3 linked regions of the Canis lupus familiaris genome follow. The protein of the gene in region 2 interacts with the protein of the main gene of each other region in a pairwise test. Links are inferred from orthologs where the notes say so. Each region holds a gene or a part of one and is shown on either strand. Other genes may lie near its edges. The genes, in order: RXRG, MPPED2 and CAGE1.

Region 1 (4,244 bases), on a different chromosome or scaffold from region 2:
AGGCCATATGTGAAGTGACAAACTCTTGAAAAACATATTAATAGTTCTTTTTTTTAATAGTTCTATAATTATTTTTACTGTTTCCTTCTATTTATAGCAAGTGACTGGGCTTCTATTTTTGCGTTGAGATTACCTTTCTAAAAATAGCTATTTAAGTTTTCAAAATGAGAGTAAGGGCACCTGGGTGGCTCAGTCAGTTGAGCATCTGACTCTTGATTTCGGCTCAGGTCATGATCTCAGGATTGTAAGATCCAGCCCTGCATCGGGCTCCCCACTCAGGGGAGTCTGCTTGAGATTCTCTCTCTCTCTCCCTCGGTCTCTCCTCCTGCTCTCTCTCTCTCTCTCTCCAAAATAAATAAACGGGCACTTGGGTGGTTCAGTCATTTAAGCATCTGCCTTCGGCTCAGCTCATGATCCCGGGATCCTGGAATCAAGCCTCGCATTGGATTCCCTGCTCAGTGGGGAGCCTGCTTCTCCCTCTCCCTCTGCTGCTCACCCTGCTTGTGCTCTCTCTCAAATACATAAATAAAATCCCAAAAATAAATAAACAAATGTTTGAAAAAAAAATAAATTGACCTAGGACAAAGTAAGTACAAGGACCTCAATATGTAGGACACTTGGGAATAGGGACATGTAAAGGGATGATGTATAAGAGGAACACTGACCTGCACAAAAACATAGAAACACGGACTTTGGGGAACTCACAAGTTGTCCCAAGAATAAAAGAAGATGATGTGAGGGTGACTGAAATTAAAAGTGCACTGTTTTTATTGATAATAATAATGAGGACAGTCAAAATAGGCCTCGGCTGCTCAGTGAGGAGCATAGCATGGCTGAGACAGGATGAAACAGACTTAAAGCTTGCTTTGCAATGGCCCTACCATGCGGTTTGCTTCTGCTGAGTCAGTGATGCAGAAGAGGTGGGCTACTTTATAACCACACTTCAGAGAATAAAATAAAATTCAGAAAGACTGATACAGCTGACACAATTGCATGTTGGTTCTGTGTCTCTCCCATGACCCACTGGTTCTCAGACATGAAAGCTTTGCTTTTAGAAAAGGTGGGAATCAGTGCCTCTAATGATGGAAGTGTTTCCCAATGGGAAGTGAACCTGTCCTCCAAAGAGACCACAGAGCGTCAGACCCACAGATGGCCCTTTCATCACCTTCCCTCTCTCTCTTTTTTAATTAATTAATTAATTATTTTTTAAAAAGATTTTATTTATTTATTCATGAGAGACACAGAGAGAGAGGCAGAGACATAGGCAGAGGGAGAAGCAGGCTCCATGCAGGGAGCCCAATGTGGGACTCAAACCCAGGTCTCCAGGATCACGCCCTGGGCTGAAGGCAGGTGCTAAACCACTGAGCCACCCAGGGATTCCCCCCTCTTTCCTCTTTTTCTCAAAGCCATGTTGGAGCCATAGCCAGGACCAAAAGGTACACACGTTTTTTTCCAGAAACCCGGTTTCTAGTCTAGATCCAAGGTCAAGGTATCCTCCAGTGCTTCCCTCTTGTTCCTACAGCCCCATCCTCCCTGGTCTCTGCACCTCAGCAGCCTTGCTCCATCCCTGACCCTACATCCTCTTAATCCTCTTTAGCCATAGCCGGACTGTGCCCGCTGCCAGATGCCTGGGAGATGCACAAACCCTCCACTCCGCAGAGTCGATTCTCTTTATTCAGGCAGTGATTTGTTTAAATAAAAAGTAACTCATCTAATGGGAAATGGCTAGTGGGCTCTCTTTTCTTCTCTCCTGGCAACATACTTAAGAAAAGTCTTTCATATTTCCGGGCCTCATTCTGCTCAGGGGTCTCCGAGACCCCTCCCACTACCACTCCATGAACATGGATGAGGATGCGGCCCACTGAGGTCTCAAAGAAGCAGCGCCAGTCACAGCAATCTGGCATGGGTGTGAGTCTGGACCCCTTTCCGAGGGGCCCCTGGTCCTTGGCAGCTGGACCTTGTTAGACCTTCGTTCTGTTTGGGACGCTGAGTGTCACCAGCAGTCAAGCTGTCTGGGAATCTGCAGGGCGCCCACACCAGCATGATTCCTCACGTCTATGTGTGCATCAAGGCACTGCGGCGGCCCAGCCAAACACAAGACTGAAGCCACAAAATCCTAGGTTGGATTCGAGGCTCCACCTCCTTCCAGTCACGTAGACTTGAGCAAGGAATGTGACCCTCGAACTGCAGTTCCCCACCCAAAGTGGGGACACACGTGCCTACCTCAGTGGCCTGCTGAGAGCACCTGAAAGCACAGGCCCCATGGTGGCAGGTGCAATAATTTACTGTTCTGTAATTGTTGTGAGCAAGGCACTGTGTGTGGCCTGAATGCCATTGGAGAAGATCGTGTACGTCGAGGGCTTAGACCAAGCCAGGCCTGTGGTAAATGCTCTATCGAGGAAAGTCGTCGCCACACACTGGTACGGACATACCAGTTGTTTATAATATTGAGTTGTCTGAATCGGCTAGTACAGCCACTGCTCTGAGCCCGGAGTGCCCCTCCGTCATCCCAGCTACTCCACCCTCCTAGGATCGCCCAGGTCTCCCCATAGCCCAGCCTGGCACAAAGAGGTCCCTCCACGTGACCCCCCCCCGACCCCCCCCCCCCCGGCTATCTGCTGTCTTCCTGGTTGTCACATACTTTTAATTTCCACTTGCCGTGAACGGTCACCATCATGGTACCCAGCACTGAGCCTGGAACTTGGCAGATGCTCAAAAAGTACCTGACGACAAGACAGGATCAGAGATGGGATAATTTTTTGTTGATTAACGTGTATGACGATAGGGAGTTGATCAATAGAAATTACTTGCATAAGAAGTCTACAGCCCTGCTGTTTACCAAAGTGAAAATCTCTGAGTAACAAATTGCATGTGCATGTTGAGGGGGTACTTGTTGAGAAAGAGAAGCCCGGGTACTCAGAACTACAGAATTCTTACCAAAGTGAGGAGGTTGCCTAGCAACCTCATCCTCAGCCAATGAAAGGAAAATGTCAAGCATGAGTCTTTCTGACTGGCCAGACAAGGGAGCAAATGGCTCGGTGTTTCCACCCCTTTCTGCTGTGCCAGGGTAGTTCGCTGGCCTAACAAGCCTCTCCTGCACGGAGTGGAAACTTGTCATGAATCTTGATACTGGGTCGTACCCACCCACAGGGAAGGGGACAGAAGTAGAGACATGCTATTCCAGAGAGGCAGGACTCTTGTGAGGTCTAGGGAGCACCACAGGGCTCCATCCCATTCAACTCTCTCCCCCGGAGACACCATCGCACATCCAAGCCTGTCTGCTTGTCTCCACTGGAGGGACCTGGTGCATGAGCCCCAGCATCAGAGAGTAGTCCGACACCTGGCTTGTTCTTCCTTTAAAAAAATATTTTTTTTTTATTATTTACAGAGAGAGTGCATGGGGGGGAGGTATAGAGGCCGAGGAAGAGACTCTCCAGCAGATTCCCTACTGAGCTCGGAGCTGGATCCCAGGACCCTGAGATCATGAACTGAGCCAAAATCAAGAGTCGGATGCTGAACCGATGAGCACCCCTGGCTGGTCATTCCCAGTCTAAGGGACCCCTACTCCCACATCCTTTCCCAGCTTGGCTCCAAACACACAGGCAGGCTGAGGCCCGCCACAGGAAGGCACTTTAACTGATGCTTCAATCGTCGCCTCCTCCCATGACTAACAACAACAGCTCAACATTGGCTGAGCGACTGCCGAGTGAAGACCAGCTCCGGTTCTCAGCACTTGACATATATTGACACGTCCTGCACCCACAAGCCCCATTAAGGCCGGCATGCTGCTCTCCACTGTGCAGATGCAGGGACTGGGGGCCAGGGATGTTGGAGACACTGCCCAAGGGAACACCACTCGTGAATGGGACCAGCGGCCTCTGAATGGAGCAACCAAGGCAGCCGATGTGGGTTTTGCCCCAGCCCCACCACGGGAAGGACTCCGCTCTGCGACTCCTCCCAGCAGCACAGGACAGCTCCCTGCCTCCCCCGACCCAACCCAACATGAGACCTCCCTCTGGATCTTGACCTTCGCACTTCCTTTCTTTTTGTTTTTTAAAGTTTTTTTTTTTTTTTTTTTTAAGAATCTCTACGCCAGCATGGTGCTCGAACTCACAACCCCAAGATCAGAGTCGCAGGCTCTAGGCTCTGAGCCAGCCAGATTCTCCCACCCCCGGCGCTGTCTGCTGAGGACGCAACCCATCCTGACTCTGGCCCCTCACAGTTCCAGGCTGGCCAGGGCGCCC
Region 2 (2,954 bases):
CAATCCAGTGAGCACAGGAACGCAGACTTTCGGACTACACAGCAGATTCCAGATCATGCTGCTTTGCTGCTTTTCTTCAATGGCTGTTCCAGGGAAAATAAAAAAGACTTTTTTTTTTTTTTTAATAAAAAAGACTTAACTTGGTTTACCACACTCCACCACCACCTGTTGGACTCCTGGCTGCCACGTTTTAGTGAGGGACATCAATAAAAGAATAGTGAATAGTGAGGGGGTGATGGGGTAATGCTCCTGGGGACAAGTAAGAGTCCGCAGTGGTTACTCTATTACCCACTGGTTCACCCTCTCGCTGCCAGGCACACAAGCGTCCACAGCCTCCACTGCACGGTCAGCCTTCTCATAGAAATTACAATGGTGAGGACGAAATATTCACCCTCAGAAGCCCACGGCAAGATAGATGACAGTGTGATGGAAGGAAAGAGTAGACTGAGTGCCTTATCGATCTACCTGCCAGCCTGTGAATGGTGGGTAATAAAAATTTATTGAAAATCAGAAAAAAAAAATCACTTATTCTAATTCTTCTGAAAGGCAGTACTAATGCTGCATGTGAATAAATCCCTCCTTCCCCAGGACTAAACCACCATCCTCCTACCAGCCAACCCTCCAAACAGGACAGATTTAAAAATCTTGCAATTTTATTTGCATATAAAGGCCGCTAGATATAGAATATCACAATAAATTTAAAAGAAACAACTGCTTTCCTAAATTTCATTAACAAGATAACATAAAATAGAATAAAGCTCAACAGCATTTACAATGGGAAAACAGAAATGACTATTAGCGACAATATTTTGTGCTAGCGAAGATTGCATCGACACACAGTGCAAAATGGGGGGAGGGAGAGGAAGTAAGAAGACGATTCAGGGTATTTAAATATAAAGGACGACTAAGCCTTATTTTAGTTACCTCCCATTGCATCCACTTAAGTCTGTACACGCCTGTAACTGTACCGAGACTTAACTCAAGCTCTTTGAGACCTTGAGTTCTGAGAAAATGTGTCAGCCCCTTCGGACTTCTGATGCCTTGCTATAAAGCATCCCTTTGCAGTCGTACTGTCCTTGGCAATATTAAACTCCTAACTTAGTCATAATACACAAAAAATATTTATATATATAAACCCATACTGAAAAGGAGTCTGCACGCTCAATTTTTTTTTTAACTGCACGAAATACTTGCTCTTGACAGATTCCATTCCCATATTTTTAAAGCTAAAATAATTTAAAAGAAACAAACAAACAATGAGACCTTGTAGAACCACAATACGGATCTCACTAGCTAAGCCATCCTTTAAACGAGGGCCGTTTTCTTCCCTGGACGCAGCTTTCTTTATAGTGAGAGTGTGAAGAGAAGTCTTTTCCACGCCTACTTTTTGTTGAAAAGATTGCTATAAATCCAGGCCATGTCTGCAAAAAAGTAAGCGTTACCAAGAAAACAACAACAACAACAACAAAACATCAAAAAATAAAATACTTCGAACAATACTCTTAAACAGTTGTGCAAATCTGGGTGGTTTTTAAAACACTACCTACCTGTTTCTCTCTCTCTCTCTCTCTCTCTCTCTTTTCTTTTTCTTCCAGCTTAAAGCATATTAAAATAAGACTTTCATCACCTTTTAAAAAGAAAGCTTGGCTGTCCTTTGGCGAATACTCACAATTTACTATGGCGTGGCCTTGGAGAGAACGGAAGTCATTTTACAAATTCACAATGCTCCTTTCATTTCGAATGGACGCCCCATTTTTTAAAAATAAAAAAATAAAATAAAATAAAGGAGAAGCACAACCTCTAGCGTCATTTGTGTTCCAGTAATTTACAAAAAGAACTCACAGGATTTGGAAATAAACAAGTAAGAGAATGTAAGTTTATAATTAGAAAAATGGCAGTTTATAGACCTTCCCTCACATTCCAATTGGGCTTTTAGAGCTTCAGGAACCCTGTGGGTTTGGAAGGTCAAATATAATTGGAGGGTTGGTCGGTTGAAAGCTGACTGTACACGTTGAGGCATTGATGTACGTTGTATAACCGTCGGTCATAATGCCGTAACCTGTGGAGACAGAGTGTCATGCTTACTGTAATATACACAAATGATAGTGACTCAGTGGTGGGCTGTCAGGCAAGGAAAACTCAAAAATCTTTGCCAGTGGGCAGTGAGATGAGATTCAATGAAGCCTCCCCAGATGATAACAGCTTTCAGAAGCTGCCTTCCAATTACATTCTGTTTTCTTTAGAGAGAGAATCCTTGACTTCAAAGAAAAGGGATTCTTTTTTCCTTATTTAAGCATTAGATTTGTCGGGGAAAGACTGTGATTTCTTTACTAGTGAGAATACAGAGAAAAACACTTCTCCCCTCTTCTTAAAATATGATTTTCATTTCAAAGCCCTGCATTCATTACTGAGTTCTAGGGAACAGAGAGAGTCACAGAAGAGGCTCCTCAGGGTGCACACATCCAAAACCCCAAATGGGCTTTGGGGCAGGTGAGGCAGGAAAGAGCACACAGCACTGGGATCCGGAAGGGGGGGTGCAGGAGGGTGGGGGGGATGCTCAGCTTCCTTGTCTATGAGATAATCTCTAAACTGCTTCAATGAATGGTTAACAAGAAGTGATCTTATCTCACTCGAATTGTGTGGCTTTTTGGTGCTGAGTTCCATTTCATTCAAAAAAAGTCAAGTAATCGAATATCCAAGTGATTTGCAGACACACATCACCATAGGACACTGCTTCCTAAGCTCACCCGGGCACTGGATCAAGCAAAAACACTTCCCACGTGCAGTATATAAATCTCTTGTGACCTACTGGGAAAAGCTACGAAAGTTTTTCTTGGGTCTTTGGTATGTAGGTCCCTTTTATAATTTTTAATTTGTTGAAATTTTTAACATGTTTGCAAGTTTGCACATTGCCCTGGATACCTTATATCTACCTTAGAGCCTCTGCGATTCAG
Region 3 (4,135 bases), on a different chromosome or scaffold from region 2:
CTGCTCTTCCCGACTTTAGCTCCTTTTCTGTCCTTCCGATCCGGACTTACCTCTCCCCTGACATTGTCAACTACTCGGCCTATCAACTCATTTCAATTATTTGCACTAGCGCCTAACATCTGTTTCGGGGCTCTTAGACTATCTCTATGTACCCCATCGTCAAGTCCTCGCTCCCATGCAGAAGGCAATGTTCAGGCGACGGCAGGGACTCTTGTCTTATTCATCACCGTCTCCAGCGCCGCCGACAGAACCTGCACACAACAGGCGCTCCGATACCTTCTGGACGTTGGATGCAGCTCAAGAGGCAAAAATCTGTTTCCTGGGCGGCCCGGGTGGCTCAGCGGTTAGCGCCGCCTCCGGCCCAGGGCGTGACCCTGGAGACCCGGGATCGAGTCCCGCGTCGGGCTCCCTGCGTGGAGCCTGCTTCTCATGAATAAATAAATAAAATATTTTTTTTTAAAGAAAAATCGGCTTCCTCCCCGCTGTCCCCGGCTGCAGACAGTCGCCTGACTCAGCGATGCTAAGCGACCCGGGGCTCCTTTGGGGGGCTCTGCCGCAAAGTGGGATAAAAGACCCCGCGGGGGTGCGGAAAGAAGCGAGACAACTACTGGTCTCCCTCCAAAGCCGAGGGGGCCGGGGGGGGGGGGGCAGCGGAGCCCCCGCGGGGTCGGGGTGTCGGGGGCCGCGCACCTGTCGGAGGAGTCCGCGTCGTCGAACTGCCCCGGGACCACGCGACTCATCAGCAGCCGGCGGTAGTCCATCCCGGGAGCGCGCAGAGCCCCGGAGGCCGTCCGCCGCGCGCTGGGACAGGAACCTACCTGCGGCCCATGAGACCGCCCTTCGGCAGACGCCCGCCCAGCACGCGGCTCAGAGGCTCCGCCGCGAAAGGCGGGCGCCACGCGCTGATAACGCACCTGCACCGGCAACCCGGACGCGCGGGGGGAACTTCCCTGACCGGAAGTCCCGCCCGACCGGAAGGCGCGGCCCGCCGGAAGTCCCGCCCCTTCACGAGGCGGTGGCGGCCCCTGCGCAGGTGGGGGGCGTGGCCCAGAGGGGGCGTGGGAGCCCGGCGGGCCGCGAGCCTCGCGGAGATTGGCTGGCGCGGCGGGGTGACGTCACACGCGCGCGAGTCCAACGCGCCCGGTACCTCCGGCCGTTTTTTAACGCCTTGGGTGGGAGCGGGTGTGACGTTGCTCTTCGTCCCGCGCCGCGGCGTGCGGAGGCGGGAGGCTCGAGGTCCTTGCCGCGGTCCGGGAAACTATGGAGCCTGGTAGTTAGACTTAAGGAGTTTGGTGCCGTGTTTTGAGGGTAAACTAAGATAAGTGATTTTTTTTTTTTTTAGAGAGTTTGTCATACGACTGAAAACGCCTTAAAACCGAACTAGAGGGGCAGCTGGAGGGCTCAGGGCGTGACCCCGGGGTCACGGGATCGAACCCCGCATCGGGCTCCCCCGCAGGGAGCCTGCTTCTCCCTCTGCCGGGGTCTCTGCCTCTCTCATGAATGAATGAATGAATGAATGAAATCTTAAAAAAAATAATAAATAATAAGTTGATAGAATGTGCACTATGAATAAAGGTCCAGAAATGTGATTGGAAATTCTAGACCAAAAAAGTTTAAGGAATAAGACACTTGGTTTTTTGTTGTTGTTGGTTGCTTTTGTTTTTGTTTTGCGTTTAGAAAACAAAGATTTTTTTCAGATGCCCTTCACCACAGCGCAGGCAGCATTTATGTGTTTGGAAAGATGGAAAAGGTGATTAAAAAGTTCACTAATCCCTGGCTAGCCTGCTTGACCCACTGGCTTTTTTTTATACTTTACGGGATGACATAGTAGCTTGCAGGGGGAGGGGATGGGAATCAAGCCTCAATTATTATTCGTTAATTCAGCAATTCAATAAAATAAAATCAGGCAAATGGCCAGTGACTGTAGATGGAGAAGTTTTAGTAAAAGTAAGTCCTTGGACTGCAAGGTTCGTTCAATCAATAGTCACTCTGTGAACGACATTGCTGTTTGCTGTAAGGAGTTCTGAAAAATCACGCATGGACTCCAATGGACGCACTTATAGTCTGTAAATACTGTGGGGCACCTGGCTGGCTGTAGGAAGAGCATGCGACTTGATCTCAGGGTGGTGAGTTCAAGCCCTATGTTGGGTGTAAACATCACTTTTTAAAAACGTGTAAATATTGACACCCTTGAAAGGGTGGCAGAGGTTAAAACAGTAAAATGAATAGGTGCTGAATTGTGATAGAGATTTTATTTTATTTTTAGGATTTTATTTACTTATTCACAAGAGACAGACAGGCAGAGACACAGGCAGGGGGAGAAGCAGGCTCCATGCAGGGAGCCTGACGTGGGACTCAATCCTGGGTCTCCAGGATCACGCCCTGGGCTGAAGGCAGATGCTCAACTGCTGAGCCACCCAGGCCTCCCATGTGATAGAGGTTTAGATGCAACAACATTGCAGGAATTTTAAAGATAGATGAATGGGTAGACAGCAAGGTCTCAAGAGAGAGAAGCATTTGCCAGTTCAGACTGAAGCAGTTAAGGAGCAAGATCTGACTAGAGCAGGGATGCACCAAATAGGTAATGTGGGTCCAGGCTGTGGGAGACCTAGAAAGTCAAGGAGGAAAACTTGGATTCCATGCAATTGGACATCCTTTCCTCTCCCATCCCCTGACAGGCCTGAGGAAGTCACAAGAGCATGGGCCAGTGCGAAGGTGTAAGAGGTGGAAAGAAAGCATGGGTTGTGAAAAACATTTTTTTTAACCAAAAATTTTTTAAAGGTTATTTACTTATTTATTCATGAGAGACACACAGAGGCAGAGACACAGGCAGATGGAGAAGCAGGCTCCATGCAGGGAGCCCGATGTGGGACTCGATCCTAGGATCCTGGGATCACACCCTGAGCCGAAGGCAGGCACTCAACCACTGAGCCACCCAGGTGCCCATGAAATTTTTTTTTTAAGATTTTATTTATTTATTTATGGAAGACACACACAGAGGCAGAGACACAGGCAGAGGGAGAAGCAGGCTCCATGCGGGGAGCCCGACGTGGGACTCGATCCCGGGACTCCAGGATCACAACCTGGGCCGAAGGCAGACACTAGCTAAACCGCTGAGCCACCCAGGGATTCCCGAAAGTCATTTTTAAAGGAGAGATGCACAGGACTTGGTAACTGGGTAGCCCAGTTGACGAATTAGAAGGATACCAAGGGTGTCTCCCAAGTTTTCAAACCAAAATGCCTGAGAGAATAATGTGGGATAGGAAAGTGGAGGAAAACTGATGTACAATGTTGGATTTAATTTGGTAATGACACAATAGAGAGTATCAAGTAAATATCAGTACAGTATTTTGTGGAACCTGATAGTCCTCTGATAATATTTTGTAAATATCTCTTAAATGACTGAGAGGTCCCTTTATGATCTGGGTCCCAAGTCTTTTAGGGAATGATTGGATAGTAGCCACATATATTGACTTGTTTTTGTCCAAATCAGTATTTACTGCTACACAAAGTGCCCATGATATACTCAAACTAAAAATTTTTATTTTTCTAATAACCTGACAACGGACATTTAAAAATTTTAGGACAATGAATGTTGCTGCTTTCTGAATGTGAGGGGGAATGGGAGGAATAACCTCTGTTTGTATATACTAATGAACATTAAAATTACGTTTTTGTTAAAAGAAACCTTCATCATTCAACAGTTAAAAACAAAGACTATCAAAAAGTTTGGTCATCACCTTCAGATCCTGCACATTTTGAAGTGGATGCCTCTCATGAAAAATTAGAAGGCGTGTTCAAAGCAGATAGCATGAATTTCAGCAGTTTTTCTCAAGACTTAACTCACTCACATTTTCCCTTGTATATGGATACCAACAGTACCACTTCAGACTCGCCTCAGGTGAGCGTTGCTTATAGAGTACTAGGAGGTACAGATGTATTCAGCTTTCACATTGTCTCCCATATGAAAATTTCCTCAAAAACAGGAAGAACACTAAAAGAATTTCTGGTGGAGGCTCAGAGGAGACCCTCAAACAGAGTCTGGTTTTCCTAGTTCTGTTAATGTAACAAAGAATTTTACAAATAGTGTTAACACTGATCCTTCCTGGACTCCAAGTGAAGTCTTAAGTGTGCA

What was found.
Region 1: the proteins of MPPED2 (region 2) and RXRG interact in binary tests that used the Homo sapiens proteins (3 or more experiments, as listed by UniProt). The two-hybrid records come from large-scale screens. The link is inferred for Canis lupus familiaris from reciprocal best matches to the Homo sapiens genes MPPED2 and RXRG.
Region 3: the proteins of MPPED2 (region 2) and CAGE1 interact in binary tests that used the Homo sapiens proteins (3 or more experiments, as listed by UniProt). The two-hybrid records come from large-scale screens. The link is inferred for Canis lupus familiaris from reciprocal best matches to the Homo sapiens genes MPPED2 and CAGE1.

What each region holds. Positions count from the first base shown.
Region 1 is NC_049259.1:18,575,304-18,579,547, reverse strand, and holds the start of RXRG (retinoic acid receptor RXR-gamma), read right to left. Parts: upstream 2,916-4,244; 5' UTR 2,814-2,915; coding exon 2,642-2,813; intron 1-2,641. UniProt on the Homo sapiens protein: Receptor for retinoic acid. Retinoic acid receptors bind as heterodimers to their target response elements in response to their ligands, all-trans or 9-cis retinoic acid, and regulate gene expression in various biological processes.
Region 2 is NC_049239.1:37,322,400-37,325,353, reverse strand, and holds the end of MPPED2 (metallophosphoesterase MPPED2), read right to left. Parts: intron 2,060-2,954; coding exon 1,941-2,059; 3' UTR 636-1,940; downstream 1-635. UniProt on the Homo sapiens protein: Displays low metallophosphoesterase activity (in vitro). May play a role in the development of the nervous system.
Region 3 is NC_049256.1:8,646,247-8,650,381, reverse strand, and holds the start of CAGE1 (cancer-associated gene 1 protein), read left to right. Parts: upstream 1-1,245; 5' UTR 1,246-1,260; coding exon 1,261-1,270; exon of another isoform or gene 1,271-1,308; intron 1,309-3,684; exon of another isoform or gene 3,685-3,704; coding exon 3,705-3,901; intron 3,902-4,135. Other genes in the region: RIOK1 (serine/threonine-protein kinase RIO1), read right to left, coding at 691-761.